Astyanax mexicanus: one gene and its partner. The protein of the gene in region 2 purifies or fractionates together with the protein of the main gene of each other region. This does not show direct contact. Links are inferred from orthologs where the notes say so. Each region holds a gene or a part of one and is shown on either strand. Other genes may lie near its edges.

Region 1 (7,600 bases), on a different chromosome or scaffold from region 2:
TGGGATTCTGTTTTGGTAGATACCTGAACTCATTAATTAAACAAGCTTGCAGTCAGATCAGACTCTCAATATTTGTACTTAAAGAGAAGAGATTCTAGCAACAAAATATCAATGGCAAAAGGATCCAAAATATGCATACCGTTCCATGGTGGTGGTACCCATTTTTCAGTGATGGAAGTAGGATACATCACTGCACCTCCATACTGCTCTGCCCACTCCACATCTGGCTGCCATTGCTTCTGCCTACAGGGATGATGAAGTGATTTAGTTGTGGTCATTAGAATTTTTTATATAGTTATCACAGTCATGATAACTATATTTTGGTTTGGAAAACACACTGACCAAGAAATAATTAAGATAAATGATTTTAGGGATGGATCCAAAGACAATATAATAGCAAAACAAAGTAACTACAGCTTTAAAACACATGTTTAAAGACCCCAAAAAACACACAGTTTTTAAACAAAGTCAACATATCAAAACTTTCATATTAAATGGGCATTACAATAAAATAAAAAACAGTGTGCAATGCGAAGGTCAGTTAAATTAATCAAGGTCATGTTCACATATTGTAAAATAAGTCAATATATTAACAAAACGTTATTATGAGGGAAAAGCAATGCAGGATTTGGGTAAAAGCCTAAATTAACAAACACCTGTAGCAGCAATGTGTGCACTCTTGGGAATATGACCTAGCTATTCTGCAAAAAAATTAAGTTTGCTAGTTAAATAAGTTAGTTATAATCTAACCTGTGTTCAGCTATGGCACCCTCTCCCCACATCACTCCAAAGGGTGATGTCAATCAGCACAAGACATCTGTGAGCTGACGTATTGGAACCGAGCCGCTGCGCTTTCCTCCGAGCACAATGATGCTACTCAGATGTGTTGCATCAGCAGCAGCTCGAAAAGAGGCGACGGCTGACTTCACATGTATCAGAGGAGGCATGTGCTAGTCTTCACCATCCTGGTGTTGGGGCATTACTAGTGATAAAGGGAGTCCCTAGTGAGTTAGGTAACTGACTTTGTAAATTGAGGAGAAAATGGGATAAAAAAATTTCTGTCATTTTAAAAAACTAGATCGCTTAGTGACCTTAAGCTCATTTGCTGCAACTCGAGATGATCTTATTCTACTGGCAATGTTTTAGTATAGGGATTAAGCTAGTTATGTTTATGGTACCTGAACACCTGTACCAGCAATGTGTGCACTCCAGTCAATCTGACAAGCTGTTTGAATGCTTTCATTTAATTATGCATATATACAGCTCTGGACAAAAATTAAGAGACCACTTTGGTTTCTGAATCAGTTTCCTTGATTTTGCTTTTTACAGGTACATGTTTAAGTAAAACAAACTTTGTTGTTCATTTTGAACACCGTTGAAAAACCTCTGGAACATAATGAAGCGGAAGATAGAAGGTCACAACCATCAAAGCTGAACTGCTTGAATTTTTGCGCCAGGAGTGGCATAAAGACACCCAAAAGCAGTGTGAAAGACTGGTGGAGAGCATGCAGAGACACATGAAAGCTGTGATGAACAATCTGGGATATTCTAACAAGAATTGACTCGGAACTCTTCCTTCGGTAAAACCTTAGTATTGCTGTTGTTTCAAAAGGAATTAACTTATTTTCTTTGCCTTATTTGAGGTTTGAAAGCACTGTACCTTTTTCATTATTTTGACCATTTCTCATTTTCTGTAAATAAATGCTCTAAATGACTATTTGTTTTTGTAACTTGGGAGGAATTTTGTCAGCGATTTATAAAATAAAACCACAATATTCATTTTACGCAATTATATAGTTATAAAGAGTTAAATCTGAGAAACTGACTATTTTTAGTTGGTCTCTTATTTTCCCCCGGAGCTGTATGTATACACACACACACACACACACACACACACACACACACACACACAGCAGTGTTTACGGGAATCACATGGCCTAAACATTAATTATCTCTTAAAGCTTTCATTCGGAAAGACCCAATCAGACCAAAAAAGTTTAATTATTACACTTTTAAACGATATGTTGAAATATTGCTGTTAGAATCTGATGGTATCCAGTCTCAAGCGCTTTAGAGAGGACAGGTACTCGTGTAGGAAGATTAACTTAGTTCTGGACAGATGCTGCAACAAGTCTTCCCAAAAGTACTGTAGGTTAGTAACTGAGCTTCATCCACTGTTATCCACGTTCCTCTGTCATTGGACATAGCACTAGCTAGCTTAGTGACCTTACGCTCATTTGCTGCTGCTGCAGAGTGTCTTATTCTACTGGCAATGCTTTTATTTGTGGATTAAACTAGCTTAGCTGTGTTTGTGGCACCCTGAATTCCTGTTTCAGCAATGTGTGCACTCCAGCCAATCTGACAACAAGCTGTCCAGATACTTTTGGGACATGTTAGCTAACTTAGATATCCTATTAATCACTAACTAATTATCTATCTTCAGAAGAACAGGTCGCATGTAACTTAACCACGCAGTAAATTCAGACCGTATAATAATCTGTGACCTTATTTAGCTACTAAACAGATTATCTATGGAGTCTATGAGCGTACACCGGCTCGCTGAATTAGCTGGCGTTACTTAACCTAGCTCAGATTTAAAGGTGGGTAACCCAGCTCCGGAAAGTAAAAATCCATTCCAGGGTTTGGTAACAACTGCTGAGCCGTCCAAGCAGTTGGTACAAAACCCTGGGATGGATTTTTACTTTCCGGGCCTGGGTTACCTACCTCTACTCAGTTTAGCCTGCTTGCTAACGCAAAAGGTTAGTTATGAAACTACCCGCACCTAATGAACAGATTCAGCGCATTATTAACCACCAAACCACCGTATATACAGTCCAGACACGCTCAGCTCAGATTTGAACCCCTGCCCCGTGTACAGTGCTGACATTAACCCGAAATATTCCTGCAGTTTATATCTCAACACACAGACCAGAGTTTCTGATTTAACAGTCCGCCCGCAGGAAGCTGCAGTTTATTTCAGCAGCTAGAGCTGAAGTCCTGTTCTGTGATCTGAGACTTACCTCTTCTGAAGCACAGCGCAGCTCGGGGTCAGAGCGCTGCTGTTTAAAATCGCCGCTGAAGGACGTCCGAGTTTGGAGAGCGACCTCAGCATAGTCGCCGCCATGTTCACAGGCCGGACTGTCTGACTGCCTTCAAATTCAGCTCGTCTAGCCCGTTCTACTGCCCCCCAGCGGAGCGGTACCTGCGCTACTGCCCCTCACCACCAGGGGGCAGCAGAGACAGGGAAAACTTAAAGGGGCAACATGAGAACTTGTAACGTTAATGGTTTTAGAGAGATGGGTCTGTCTGCAGAACCGCAGAGCCACGGATCAGGTTTTCTACCTCGATAGACTGATGGTCTATGTAGACATATCACTCTCAACATTGATAGTTGGCTTACATGGGATGTACTTTTACACTCACTCATATATGCAACGTTACATTAACTATTCACCTCAAATATGCAATACATATGATGAATTTCATATTATAACTTTTGGTGCAATATTTTATATTTATTATAGTTTCCATGCCAATAGAGCACTGAAGTCATGTAGATTGCGGCACCATGTTGTTGTTTATGCCCATATTTGGGGTTCCGTGTCTAACAATTCTTTTTAACAACTGGCCTCTATCACATTCTGTGGTAAATACATATGTTCAGAACCTTGTTCATTTTAATCTGTGTACGTTTTCCTCCTGAACATCACTGGATCTTCTGAATTATGAGATCCTTTAAGGTTAGTAATTCGAAAAATGCTAGCTTCAAGCTAATGCTCAACTGACTTCACAGCACAGCGGCAGGGAATGGCAGCGGACTCAATTCTGCACAACACTAGCGAACTCCTGCCGGATCACGTTTTGGATTATTTAATTTATTGAGTGTTTAAACCTGGTTCTGGGGTAACTGTGCTGCTTTTTATTAGATGGGTCAGCAGGCTTTAATATGGTGTAAACATACAGCCGGAATTTGCTGGTGTTGCACCGAAAAGAGTCCCCTGTCGATCTCTGCAGCTGCACTGGGAGGTCAGTTTTCCCCCACTGTAGCATTAGCTTAAAACTAGCATTTTTCTTATTACGACTCTTAAACAATCTCGTAATTCAGAGGATCCAGTGATGAGCCATTTTTATGTTTTGGGTCTGCCCCATCTTTTCTGAGTCTTTGTATTGGTGTTGCTCAATAAAGAAATTATAAGAACATTTTGCATTGTTTTGACTAGCACCACAATTGACATAATATAAAATTGCACATTTTGCATTAATTTGACTAGCACAAATTTTTTGAGTGTAAACTAAAAACTGGAAAAAAAAATGGAAAGTGGAAAATGGCAAGACAACTGAGAATGAGAATGCAGAAGTGAAGCTTCAGAAGCTCCTTTCAAAGCTGAGCATGTCTTAGAAGAACAGAGAACTAAGAGCATGAGGCAAACAAAAGGCACTCTCACTCAGATGGCTTTACTACCATTCTTGAACTTCAGACCTCAATAAAGAAACAGATCAGATTTTAGTATTCACACTTCAATCAAATAGTTTTATTTTATACAGTTTTACAGAGTTTATCATTTTATTATTATGAGAAATCTAAACCTTAAACAAAAAAATTTACCTTTTTATTCCTTTATAATCAGCATGGTGTGATCATTTACAGAACCTATAACCTATTTATTTTCTGTACTACCTCATACAATCAGAATGTGTAATCATATTAAATAAACATGCCAGGTTATTGCAAAACATTAGCCAATATGTTTCTATTTAAGTTGTTATAGATAGATCTTAGACCGGGTCCAGAAAATCCAGCCCATCCCAACCTGAACCTGTGCACATTCTGCTCAAGCCCGACCCGACCCGCCTCATAAACAGTCTTTTTGAGCCTGAGCCCGACTTAAACCAGACAATTTTTAAAATTATGTTAATTAACACTGAAACACTGAAGAAGCATAGACCAATTATTTAAAAACAATGTTGATTAAGAACCGATCTCCCTGTCTACTCTAATATAATTAACAATGTCTAAAAAAAAATAAAACACTTTCTGAACAAAAATATTTTAAAAATATTTTAAAACATATAGCCTATGGCAAAACACAAAAAAACAACAATAAGGCAACGCACACTCATTAAACCAAAATAGACCAAGAGCAATAGCATGAATTACAATGACCTTCGTCCACTGTAAAATAATTAACAATGTATAAGAATATACAATACTTTCTAAACAAATTTTTTTAAGCTTATAGTCTAAGCGCAGAACACAAAAACAGCAATAAGGCTAGGAGGAGGAGCTGACGTGCGCAGTGCTCACTGCACAGTTCCAGAGCTTCATAATCATAACATTTTAACTTGTGCAACTTTTTAAAAACACGATTATTTACTATATTGTGAATATAAAGCCATAGCTTTATATAAAATAGCTTAAAAAACAGAGCCCGGTCTGACCCGGCCTGGGGACAGTGGTGGGAAATCCGGGCAGAGAATCTAACCTCCCCAGTCTTATTTCCACACCCCAGGTTGCCAGGTGTGGAACACAATTATCAGTCAAACACAGTGTGTTGCAGCCACTGTATCCTTTTAAAAAGCTCCACAATCAGGTGAAGAGTAAGCTGTGAATATGATTAATGAAGTAGCTATGAATGTGATTATATGTTGCCATTGTAAAACTTCTTTTACTTGTATGAGTTGTATGGGTAGGTTCAGTGAGCTACAACCGTGTTCCTAATAAAATGCTTGTTGTGTATATTGTCAGTGGCTTTTATCAATGGCTGTAGGAAAAAATCTTTAAATTGTCTCAGTCCCTTTATATTATAAATTTTCATTTAAATTTCTTAAAACATTTTCTTTCGCAATCACCCAGTAAGTTGTGGTAAGATCACACACACATTTATCTAAACATCATACAGCTACAGATCTTTATCTTCCCCCCTCAGGTTGTGCATGCTGCAGTGATGGCATCTGCAGGTGCAATTTTCTTCCTACGCTGACGTTTAGAAATCGACCACACCGAGTGTGTGTCAGAAGCCATGATCTGTTATAGAATGGTGTGTCAGTGCTGTTTGCAAAGGTAATTTACATTTCTGTGATGGTGAAATTAATGCAGAATAGTTGAGGCTGAGGAAAAAGAGAGTATCGATCCTGAATTGACCTGCCTGTAGACCTGTGTGGATATTTAGAGAATAATGTGACATTGACGACCCAACTTAACATTTGAAGGAAGAATGAGGAAAAAAATTATATACAGCTCTGGAAAAAAATACGAGACCATTTCAGTTTCTGAATCTGTTTCTCTGATTTTGCTATTTATAGGTTTATGTTTGAGTAAAATGAACGTTTTTGTTTTATTCTATAAACTACGGACAACATTTCTCCCAAATTCCAAATTAAAATATTGTTATTCAGAGCATTTATTTGTAGAAAATTAGAAATGGTTGAAATGAAAAAGAAGGTTGCAGAGCTTTCAGATCTTAAATAATGCAAAGAACACAAGTTCATATTCATAAGGTTTTAACAGTTCAGAAATCAACGTTTGGTGGAATAACCCTGTTTTTTAATCACAGTTTTCATGCATCTTGGCATGTTCTCCTCCACCAGTCTTACACCCTGCTTTTGGATAACTTTATGCCACTCCTGGTGCAAAAATTCAAGCAGTTCAGCTTGGTTTGATGGCTTGTGATCATCCATCTTCCTCTTGATTATACTCCAGAGGTTTTCAATTTGATAAAAAAAACAAACCCAAATTGCAAGGATGGTTGTGCCAGAAGATTGATACCATTTAATTAGAACATTTGTTCACCTCACCACCGAGGAAAACTACTGCTTTCAATTTAAAAGAAAGTAACTTTTGCGAAAGTTAGGGACTGCTGCTTTAATAAATGACCTCAGAACACTTCCACACTACTTTGGGCTATTTTTACATGTGGAAATGACCTCCAACACCAACACATCCTTTCCCTTCTTCTCTCTTCCTTTTTTATCTCTATTAGGTGGAGGAGATGCTGTTACTATTACATTTTCTTAACTGGCGTATAAAACTGTTACAAAAGAACTAATAAAACACTACAATATTACAATATTATTTTTACAATAGTTTAATAGTTACTATATTATTCTAAATAAAATACTACATAGTTGTTTTGCCGTTTGCTTCACTCGGTGCCAGAAATATTTTGGGCTAGTTTAAGCTTCTGAAGGGGTGATTTTAAACAGACTTTGGGCACGATATTTTTGTTGGACCTGGCAACCCTGGTGGAGATGCAACCTGGCAGCTGGTGGTGGAGGAGGGCAAGATGAAGGTGATACTGTTAATGATAAAGGAGATTTATGGAGCTTACATTTAAATAATCTGTTGTCACAGTAAAACAGATAAAACATGTAACCCGAAGTATGGGTGCTGAAAAAATAGATTCTTTTAAGAATCCTGATTCCTAGTCCTAGAGTTCTGAATCACTTCAAAATGCCCTGAAATCGATTTTAAAATACGTTTAGATTTTTACTGCTTCTACTCCCGACAGTACTGCATGCCGCATTACGCGTCCACTTGACCATCGTAGAAGAAGGAGACGTCTAGGCCACCGTACAGCAAGCTAGTTAGTTAGCCAGCTTC
Region 2 (8,173 bases):
ATATACTTACACAAATAGACATATACAAAGCCACTAAGGTGACATGTAAACAAAAAATAATAATAATTAAATTAAATAAAATAAAAAAAAATTTATTATGCATGGCCACGCTTTATTAAGGTATGGAAACAAAATTCTAGAATGTGGGTATGAGATAATTAAGGCGTAGGAACGACACACTCCATTTTCTTACAAAAGATTATCTTTGGACTGGAGCTTAGATGTAATGTCCAGTCTTTTTCATAGGCATTCATTTATGTCTTTATTAATCTAAATTATCTCTTTCCATGCATTAGGATCTCGTTCCCACGCCTATGCCTTATTAATATTATTATTTTTTTTTTTACATGATAACTTAGATGCTCCATAGATATATACTCATAATAATGAATTATATGCTCTACATATAACATACATATGCAATAAGCCCTATTTTCACCAGACAGACATACATTAGATAAGAAGGATGTTCTCATATCTTACCTTTTCCACAACAAACCTTGCCCGTTCAGCTTCTTGCTGAGCCACTTGTTTCATTTCAACAGCCTCTGTGAATTCTTTACCAAACGTCAGGTGAGTCTGAAGAACAGAAAGAAAAGTTGCTTTAAATATAATCTGGATCAAGATCATCATAATCATCATCATAATCATCATCATCATTGTAGTCACACTCCACAGGCAATGAATGAAGGAAGTGAGACAGATATAAAGTATCAAGGATTACCAGGGAAACGTCATCCAGGATAAGGCCGAATGTGGACGCTCTCTCAGTCAGATCTTCACTGACCTGCCTGGATACCAGCTCTCTCTGAGTGATCAGCTCTCCTGCATCAAACCTGGCCTGAGGGGAAACATGGAGACACGGCCACATGGTCACATACTATTAGGACCTCTTATACTGAGACACACAGAATGATTTATAGCTACCCACCACAACAGCTTTCAGGACTTCAGTGGTGATGGAGGGGAGCACTCTTTCATCATAGTCTTCACCAATACTGGTGAAAATCCTAGGCAGTTGATTTGCTACCGGTCTGAAGAGAATCCTCAGTGTAATGTTCACATTCTGTAGATCTGAAGGAAAAAGAAAGGAAAGACAACTATAATACTAATAGAGCATTAGCCTTAGGGTAACTAGTCAGTCACTGCAAACTCTATAGATTCCATTGTAGAGAGATAATTATTTATTTGGAATGAAAATTTTACTACATTATTTATAAAAAAAATTATAATAATAATTGAAAAAAAAGTTTCTGGACGATACGTTGTCCAAGAAACAACTTGGACAAATTTCCACATTTTTCATGACACTGATATATGGTTAACATACTGTAGACAGCAAGACCCACTGCTAAGAATTAAAATGATAAGAAAACATTGCCATGGCCACTAAGCACTGAAAATATAACAAGGCCATTACTACACCCCTTCAGAGTCAAGGTCATGGTCAAGATCATGAAAATGATATATATATATTTTTTTTTCTGACAGTAGTTACCTTTGCTTCCAGTCACGACAGGCACATTGCGTGGGCGGGACCTGCAGTCAAAAATGATGGGTTTCTGAACCCAGGGAATCAGAAAATGTGTTCCCTCCCCAACCACGGCATCCTGTACTCCTCTAAACCGGTCAAAGATGACTGCCCTGTGACCAGCGTCAACTGCAGGACACACACAGATATAGATTAGATTAAGTCAAAATCATTTTTTTATTAGTAATTATATAGTTTAGAATATAAAAAAGTTTACAGCAATTAGGGGCAAAGTTTGGCATAATCTTTTAGTATTAGGATCATAGTATTAGGCATTTCATAGGTATTAAAAAAAAAAAAAAAAAAAAAAAAACTTATGACAAGATGCCTAATCAGAAATAATATTTTTAATTTGCACACTGTATTTCCTGTCACGAATGTGTCCACCTTGTTATGGCAAGCTGCACAGCAGGGTGGACAATTTTAGGGAAAATTAGCATTTGATGAAGCCATGCTTGACCTAGAGATGCAAACATTTTGAATTGCTCATGGTGTCCCTGTTCTGTTTCAAAGACACAGTACCAGTCAAACGTTTGGACACATTCTTTTTTTCATTATTTACTACATTGCAGATTAATAGAGACTCAATAAAAATCCCTGACATAAAAACCCACCCGTTCATCAGGAAATTAAGTGAGTGTAAGGCAGCGATTCTCAGCTGGTGGGTTTGGACCCAAAAGTGGGTCGCAGACACGTTCTGGGCAGGTTGTGCACAGCTTATAAACAATAAATACATGTTTTTTATTATTTATTGTGTTATTATGTTTTAATATTTAATGTCTTATATTTTTATATTTAACTCTTCTTTACTTTGAAAGCATATGCATTTTTAAATGGGGTTTTATGGGCTATTTTAAAAAAAAAAAAAAAAAAATTGGATATAATTGTTCTCCATTCAACAGCAACAATATTCTTTTCCCATGTGTAATATGAACATACAGCTTTAGACAGATAATCTGTTAAAACACATGACTTTTAATCTCAGACAAAGTAAACTGAACACAGCCGTGCTGCTGAAATAAAGACTGTTAATCGTGTTAATGGATACAGACGTGAACAACTACAACACTTCACTAAAACACACTGAAATCCACTTACCATTAAAGAGGGCAGAGTTCACCACGCCTCCTCCAACGGCCAAGGCCAATCCCAACTTTCCAATAGACTCAAATAACTTAGCCATGACAGCGGAGTGACGGCTCTGGGGGAAAAAGGATTATTTATTATTTTTACACAATATTAATGTGAAATTCTGTGGAAAAAACTATAAAACAGCATGTGGGTTAGCTTATTAGGTTTAGAAAGGACAAAGTGTGAGGTTATCTGGAACATTCCTTCTTAGAACAGCCAGGAAATCTACTCTTCACTTATGTATCAAGAGCTAATCATCAATATTATATAACTAGCGGACAGAGCTAAGCATACTGGGTAACTAGCTTATTGGTGTTCAGTTAGTTTAATTCTGTATAACAAACAGAGCCAACAGTTAGTTAGCTAACTAACTACAAATGTGCATAATGTGAGCACTGTTCAGAGGCCTTGATTATGGACTATGCTATGCTAGCTATTAGCTAGCTATAAACTATTCTAGTTAACCTAGAAACGTCTGGAAATATTTAGTGACTACTTCACTACCTAGTTAAATGAATACGACTAAGTTACCTATTAATTCAAGATTATAACAAGCTAATACTAAACCAAGAACACACTCAGTTAGCTAGCTTAGTTAACCTAACGTTAGCTAAGCTAACTAGTTAGCATCTATTGCTGGTGCAACGTTTTGCAACCGCACCGCTGCTGCAGTTCGCCAGCACTAGTAAATCACACATTTCTACTGAAACGAGGCACAAAAACCAAGCTAGCTACTTCACCCTAACTCCTATACACACAACCAGCACATCATCAGTTAACATATAACTACTGTTCTCACATGGGCTCCAGCACTGCAGGTAACTCACCCGGGCTCCTGATCACTGTGACCTCCACACAAACCCAGCGACCAGCCACATGAACAGACAAGACGTATGAGCATGCGCAGACTGCCCAACAGAAGCGATTCTGATTGGACGCGCTGAAGCTGAGAAGGGGAGAAGCGCGTGCCTGTAAGTATGGAGTGATTTCATTGGTTGTGGTTCTGGACCTTGACGGCTCTTCCTGCGGATACGTAACACAACACATGCTGCCTTCAGACGGAGTATCTGAAGTCAGAAAATTCCCTAAACTTAAAAAAAAGTTTCTCTGATTTTGCTATTGATAGGTATATGTTTGAGTAAAATTAACATTGTTGTTTTATTCTATAAACTACAGACAACAGTTCTCCCAAATTCAAAATAAAAATATTGTCATTTAGAGCATTTATTTGCAGAAAATGTGAAATAGCTGAAAAAACTAAGAAATGCAGAGTTTTCAGACCTCAAATAATGCAAAGAAAACAAGTTCATAATCATACAGTTTTAAGAGATCAGAAATCAATATTTAGTGGAATAACCCTGGTTTTTAATCACAGTTTTCATGCATCTTGGCATGTTCTCCTCCACCAGTCTAACACACTGCCTTTGGATAACTTTATGTTCCTCCTGGTGCAAAAATTAGTTTGATGGCTTGTGATCATCCATTACTCTTGATTATTTTCCATCGTTTTTTTAATTTGGTAAAGTCAAAGAAACTCGTCAGTCTTAAGTGGTATCTTATTTTTTCCAGAGCTCTCTCTCTTTCTCTCTCTCTCTCTCTCTTTCTTTATGTCTATATATATATATATATGTCTATATATATATATATATATATATATATATAGAGAGAGAGAGAGAGAGATTTTAAAGCTGTGTGATGGGATAGTGCTGGAGATGTTTTTTTTTTTGCTTCTACAGCTCTATTACAACCATTTAACCGTTCAAACGCGTTAAGAAAATGTTTTTTGCTCCATATAACTAGTTCTGACCTGTTTGTGACTGGATTTATGTTACATCATGATTTTAACATTTTAACCCACACACAAGAAAAACATGAATGAGCTGCTCAATAAATTTATTAAATTCAATGAATTAGTATCAATATTCAGAAATTGGTCTGGGCTCTTATGGGTTACTTGTGTTTTATTATTATAGATTACTGCTTATTTTTATTGCTTATATTGTTCTATTCTATTGTTTTTATATATGTCCTATTCCTTAAATGTCCTCATATTTCATATGTCGTAATTATGTGCGCAGAGATACAGGGGAAAAAAACTATTCTAATTCATACTGCATAACTGTGATGACTTGATGAGATGAGGAAGAGACATCTATGTTTGTTTTCCTTTATTTGTGCTGAACTCACACAAGTTTCTTCTAATTTCTTTCTTCTAAACCAGCAAGATTCTTTGATCTTTCTGCTCCCATTTGAAGGGCAATTCATCTGAGAGCACTGTGGCTCCACCTACTGGACAATTTGTTCAACTGCACCCGTGGTTACTACAATAGTAGTACAAATTGTTCTTTAAACCTATGTAAACTATGGAGGACCAAAAATTACATAAGTATAAATAAATACACATATAAATGTATAAATATATAAATAAATAAATGAATAAAAAAATTAATGTTGAAATGAATAAATATATAAATAAATGCACATATAAATGAATAAACAAATATATAAATAAATAAACACATGCACAAATAAGTGTATAGGTAATTAAATTAATTAATAAATACATTTCTTATTTATATATTTATTTATTAATTTATATGTGTATTTTTTATGTCAACATTTATTTATTTATTTATTCATTTATTTATTTCAACATTTTTTTATTTATACTTATGTCATTTTTGGTCCTCCATAGTAAACACGCGTGCTTTCGTTTTTCACACTGCTGACCTGCCATGCAGTTACAGTGTCAACTCACAACTTCTCCCTGCCTCTTATCTATAAACCATGCAGAGTACATGTTGGACAGCGTTTGACTTGCTCCAACCTCACCATACACTATAGTGATGCTTCTCTACTATATGAACAAATATTCCCAACTTTTCCACTGAGAAAGTAATTATATGCGCCCAAACTGCGGTGCGCTTTCACTGCCTCCGTTTCAACAAGGTATTGATCACATCTGGGTAGATCACCTCTGGCACGCGTTTTAAATCAGAGGAAAAAACTTCCCTCTTAAATCCTTATCAAAAGGATCAGGAAAAGAGGTTTGATCACTTTTTACTAATTTCTGACCATATGTTTGCTCTGTTTTCGGGAAATATGCGCTCTCATTTTGACAGCTGTATACTTGAAAATAACGCCACCGGAAGCGTCGAAGGAACAGACATGCGCATTAGCTTTGTTATTGTTTTCCTCATTGAAACGGTCTATATTTAAAACATTGTGTGTTTATAAAAATGTAGTTTTAATATAGTATTAAATATTACAGTAATTAACAGTATATTATTAGTAAAAACAGCATGTTTATTTATTTATTTTTTTATTAAATGGTAATAAAAAATAGAGTTTGTACGGTCAAGAACAACCTGGAAAAGCTCATAGCAAAGGTTAGTTAGCTTGTTGCTAGCTTTCGTTCTAACTCCAGTAACATTAGTGTGTAGTTTGCTAGCGTTCGCTCGTCACTAAGGTTAGTTAGCTCGTTGCTAGCTTTCATTCTATCTCCAGTAACATTAGTGTTAGCTAGCTCGTCACTAGGTTAGATAATTTATTGAGCACTGTGGCACATAGGCCTTGGGTGTTGTGGCTTTGTCAGAGCACCTTGAAAAGTGTCATGTGTTGAAATCTTGCACAGACCTCCCAGACATTTCTCCTCCAGCCCCTTCAGCCCTTCCCTCCACAACTTTAGCCCACTTTAACAATCACCTTTGAAGTGGAGATGCTTCTGTTTCTGCCCCTTCCTCCCTTCCACAGCATTTGAGATGGTACCAGCCACTCAGAGTGGCAGGCCACTTCCTCCTTCCCCTGCTTCTGCTCCCGCTCCAGCTGCTCCCAGTCCCTGAGCACTATCCAGAAATAAGCCAGGCCAGGTTCTTGTCAAAGCCGCTCCTCCGGGTCATCAAGCCAGGTGACCAAGAGTGGATTGCACACATCCTTTATGAAGCAAATGGGCAGCTGAGACAGGATGTCAGGGAGAATTGGCACCACCCATACAGCCCAGTCAGATCTGTGGCACCTGCAAACCCACACAATTATTTAAGGCAGGGGATGTTATTTGGGCACCAATGTGCATGTGGGGTATCCCTTTGAAATGAAATGGCTCAGTCCAATCGGGGAGATCTTCTTAGCCAGCAGATTGGTATTGGTGACCATGATGATGATGATGATGATGATGTGACCATACCACAGGATCTTGATCTCACATTGCAGGTAACATTATGTCAACAAAACCAGACGGTAAAAAAATATTAGAAAACTAAAAAGCACTCAATTTTTGATGTACAAACAAACCTTTAAAAGATGGATGTACTCTTATTAATCACTTCAGGAATTTGGAACCAGTGGCCCCAGGCCCCAGTCAGATGTCAGGCCCCCATTGGAGGAGAGTGAGGATGTGTCAAGCCTCTGCTGGACACATCCACACCCCATTGGAGGAGACCGATGCCTCTGTTGGGCCTGTCCACGCCCCATTGGAGCCTGTCCACTCCCCATTGGAGGAGATTGATGTCACTTTCATAACTAAGAGTGATGCCGCTACTACGCCGCTGCCTGTCTTCACCACATTTAGAGTGTGATAAAGATAAAGTTTCACCATTAGAAATGTGTGCTTCTTTATATTTGCTATTGCATCGGATGTTTAAACTCGTTTATTTGTTGCTCCAATGCGTGTAACAGGAACTGTATATTAAATGGAAAAAGAAGACGAGGTGGCCGTGTGGATAAGGCAATGGACTGCTAATTCATTGTGCTCTGCTTGTGTGGGTTTAAAATGCCTTTGCAACAATGTTGATCATCTTTACATGAAGAACAAGTGAATAAAGAAGCATTTCACAACATTTCAGGCCAAAAAATGGAACTGACATTTTAGAGACAAACCAAGACAAGGTGCCTGAGTGTTTAAGGTGATAGACTTCTAATCTATTGTGCTCTCTTCATGTGTGTTCAAATTCCACCTTCATTGGATGGTTTCTTTAGAACTCTGTTAGAATAGGTTAGAGTGGAGCTCTTTGTATATAATTATTCCCCTCTCCAAGCCATTTTGGCACTTCTGGGAATGTGCGGGTTACAGGCAGTGAAAGGTCCGTAATACGTAAAATCACCATTTCTGTAAACTCCCTTCCTGTCTGTTCAGCCCAAAAACAGGGTTGCCTTTTGTCTCTGTAATCCAGATCTGCAATAACTACGTGTTTCCAAGGCTCAGTAATCGCTGGCTTGTACTGTACAACTCTGCCTGGCACAGTAATGTATGATAAGCTCATTGAAAAGGACCATGGCTGAGTAATGGTGTCAGTGAGAACTAGGTGGTGCTGTCTTTTGCTCAAATTATCTTGGCTCAGATTTAATGTTCTTTACAACACATTTTATCCTATTCAAACAGTCTTAGATTAAAGCTCAATTTGACATGGTACATCCACTAAAATCCCTGACTTAGTGGTTGTGAAGTTAGTGCTGATGCGATGCCTCGTATTTTATAGTTCAAAATCAGATCAGGGTCGTTAAACTCATTTCAGG

What was found. The genes of interacting proteins can lie anywhere in the genome.
Region 1: the proteins of phb (region 2) and ndufs2 purify together in Homo sapiens (affinity purification with mass spectrometry; 3 studies listed by BioGRID and IntAct, with this or other methods). This does not show direct contact. The link is inferred for Astyanax mexicanus from reciprocal best matches to the Homo sapiens genes PHB1 and NDUFS2.

What each region holds. Positions count from the first base shown.
Region 1 is NC_064415.1:29,481,487-29,489,086, reverse strand, and holds the start of ndufs2 (NADH dehydrogenase [ubiquinone] iron-sulfur protein 2, mitochondrial), read right to left. Parts: upstream 3,176-7,600; 5' UTR 3,125-3,175; coding exon 3,021-3,124; intron 244-3,020; coding exon 140-243; intron 1-139. UniProt on the Homo sapiens protein: Core subunit of the mitochondrial membrane respiratory chain NADH dehydrogenase (Complex I) which catalyzes electron transfer from NADH through the respiratory chain, using ubiquinone as an electron acceptor. Essential for the catalytic activity of complex I.
Region 2 is NC_064426.1:27,731,606-27,739,778, forward strand, and holds the start of phb (prohibitin), read right to left. Parts: upstream 3,638-8,173; 5' UTR 3,490-3,637; exon of another isoform or gene 3,462-3,489; intron 2,733-3,461; 5' UTR 2,715-2,732; coding exon 2,630-2,714; intron 1,661-2,629; coding exon 1,499-1,660; intron 1,075-1,498; coding exon 932-1,074; intron 842-931; coding exon 725-841; intron 580-724; coding exon 484-579; intron 1-483.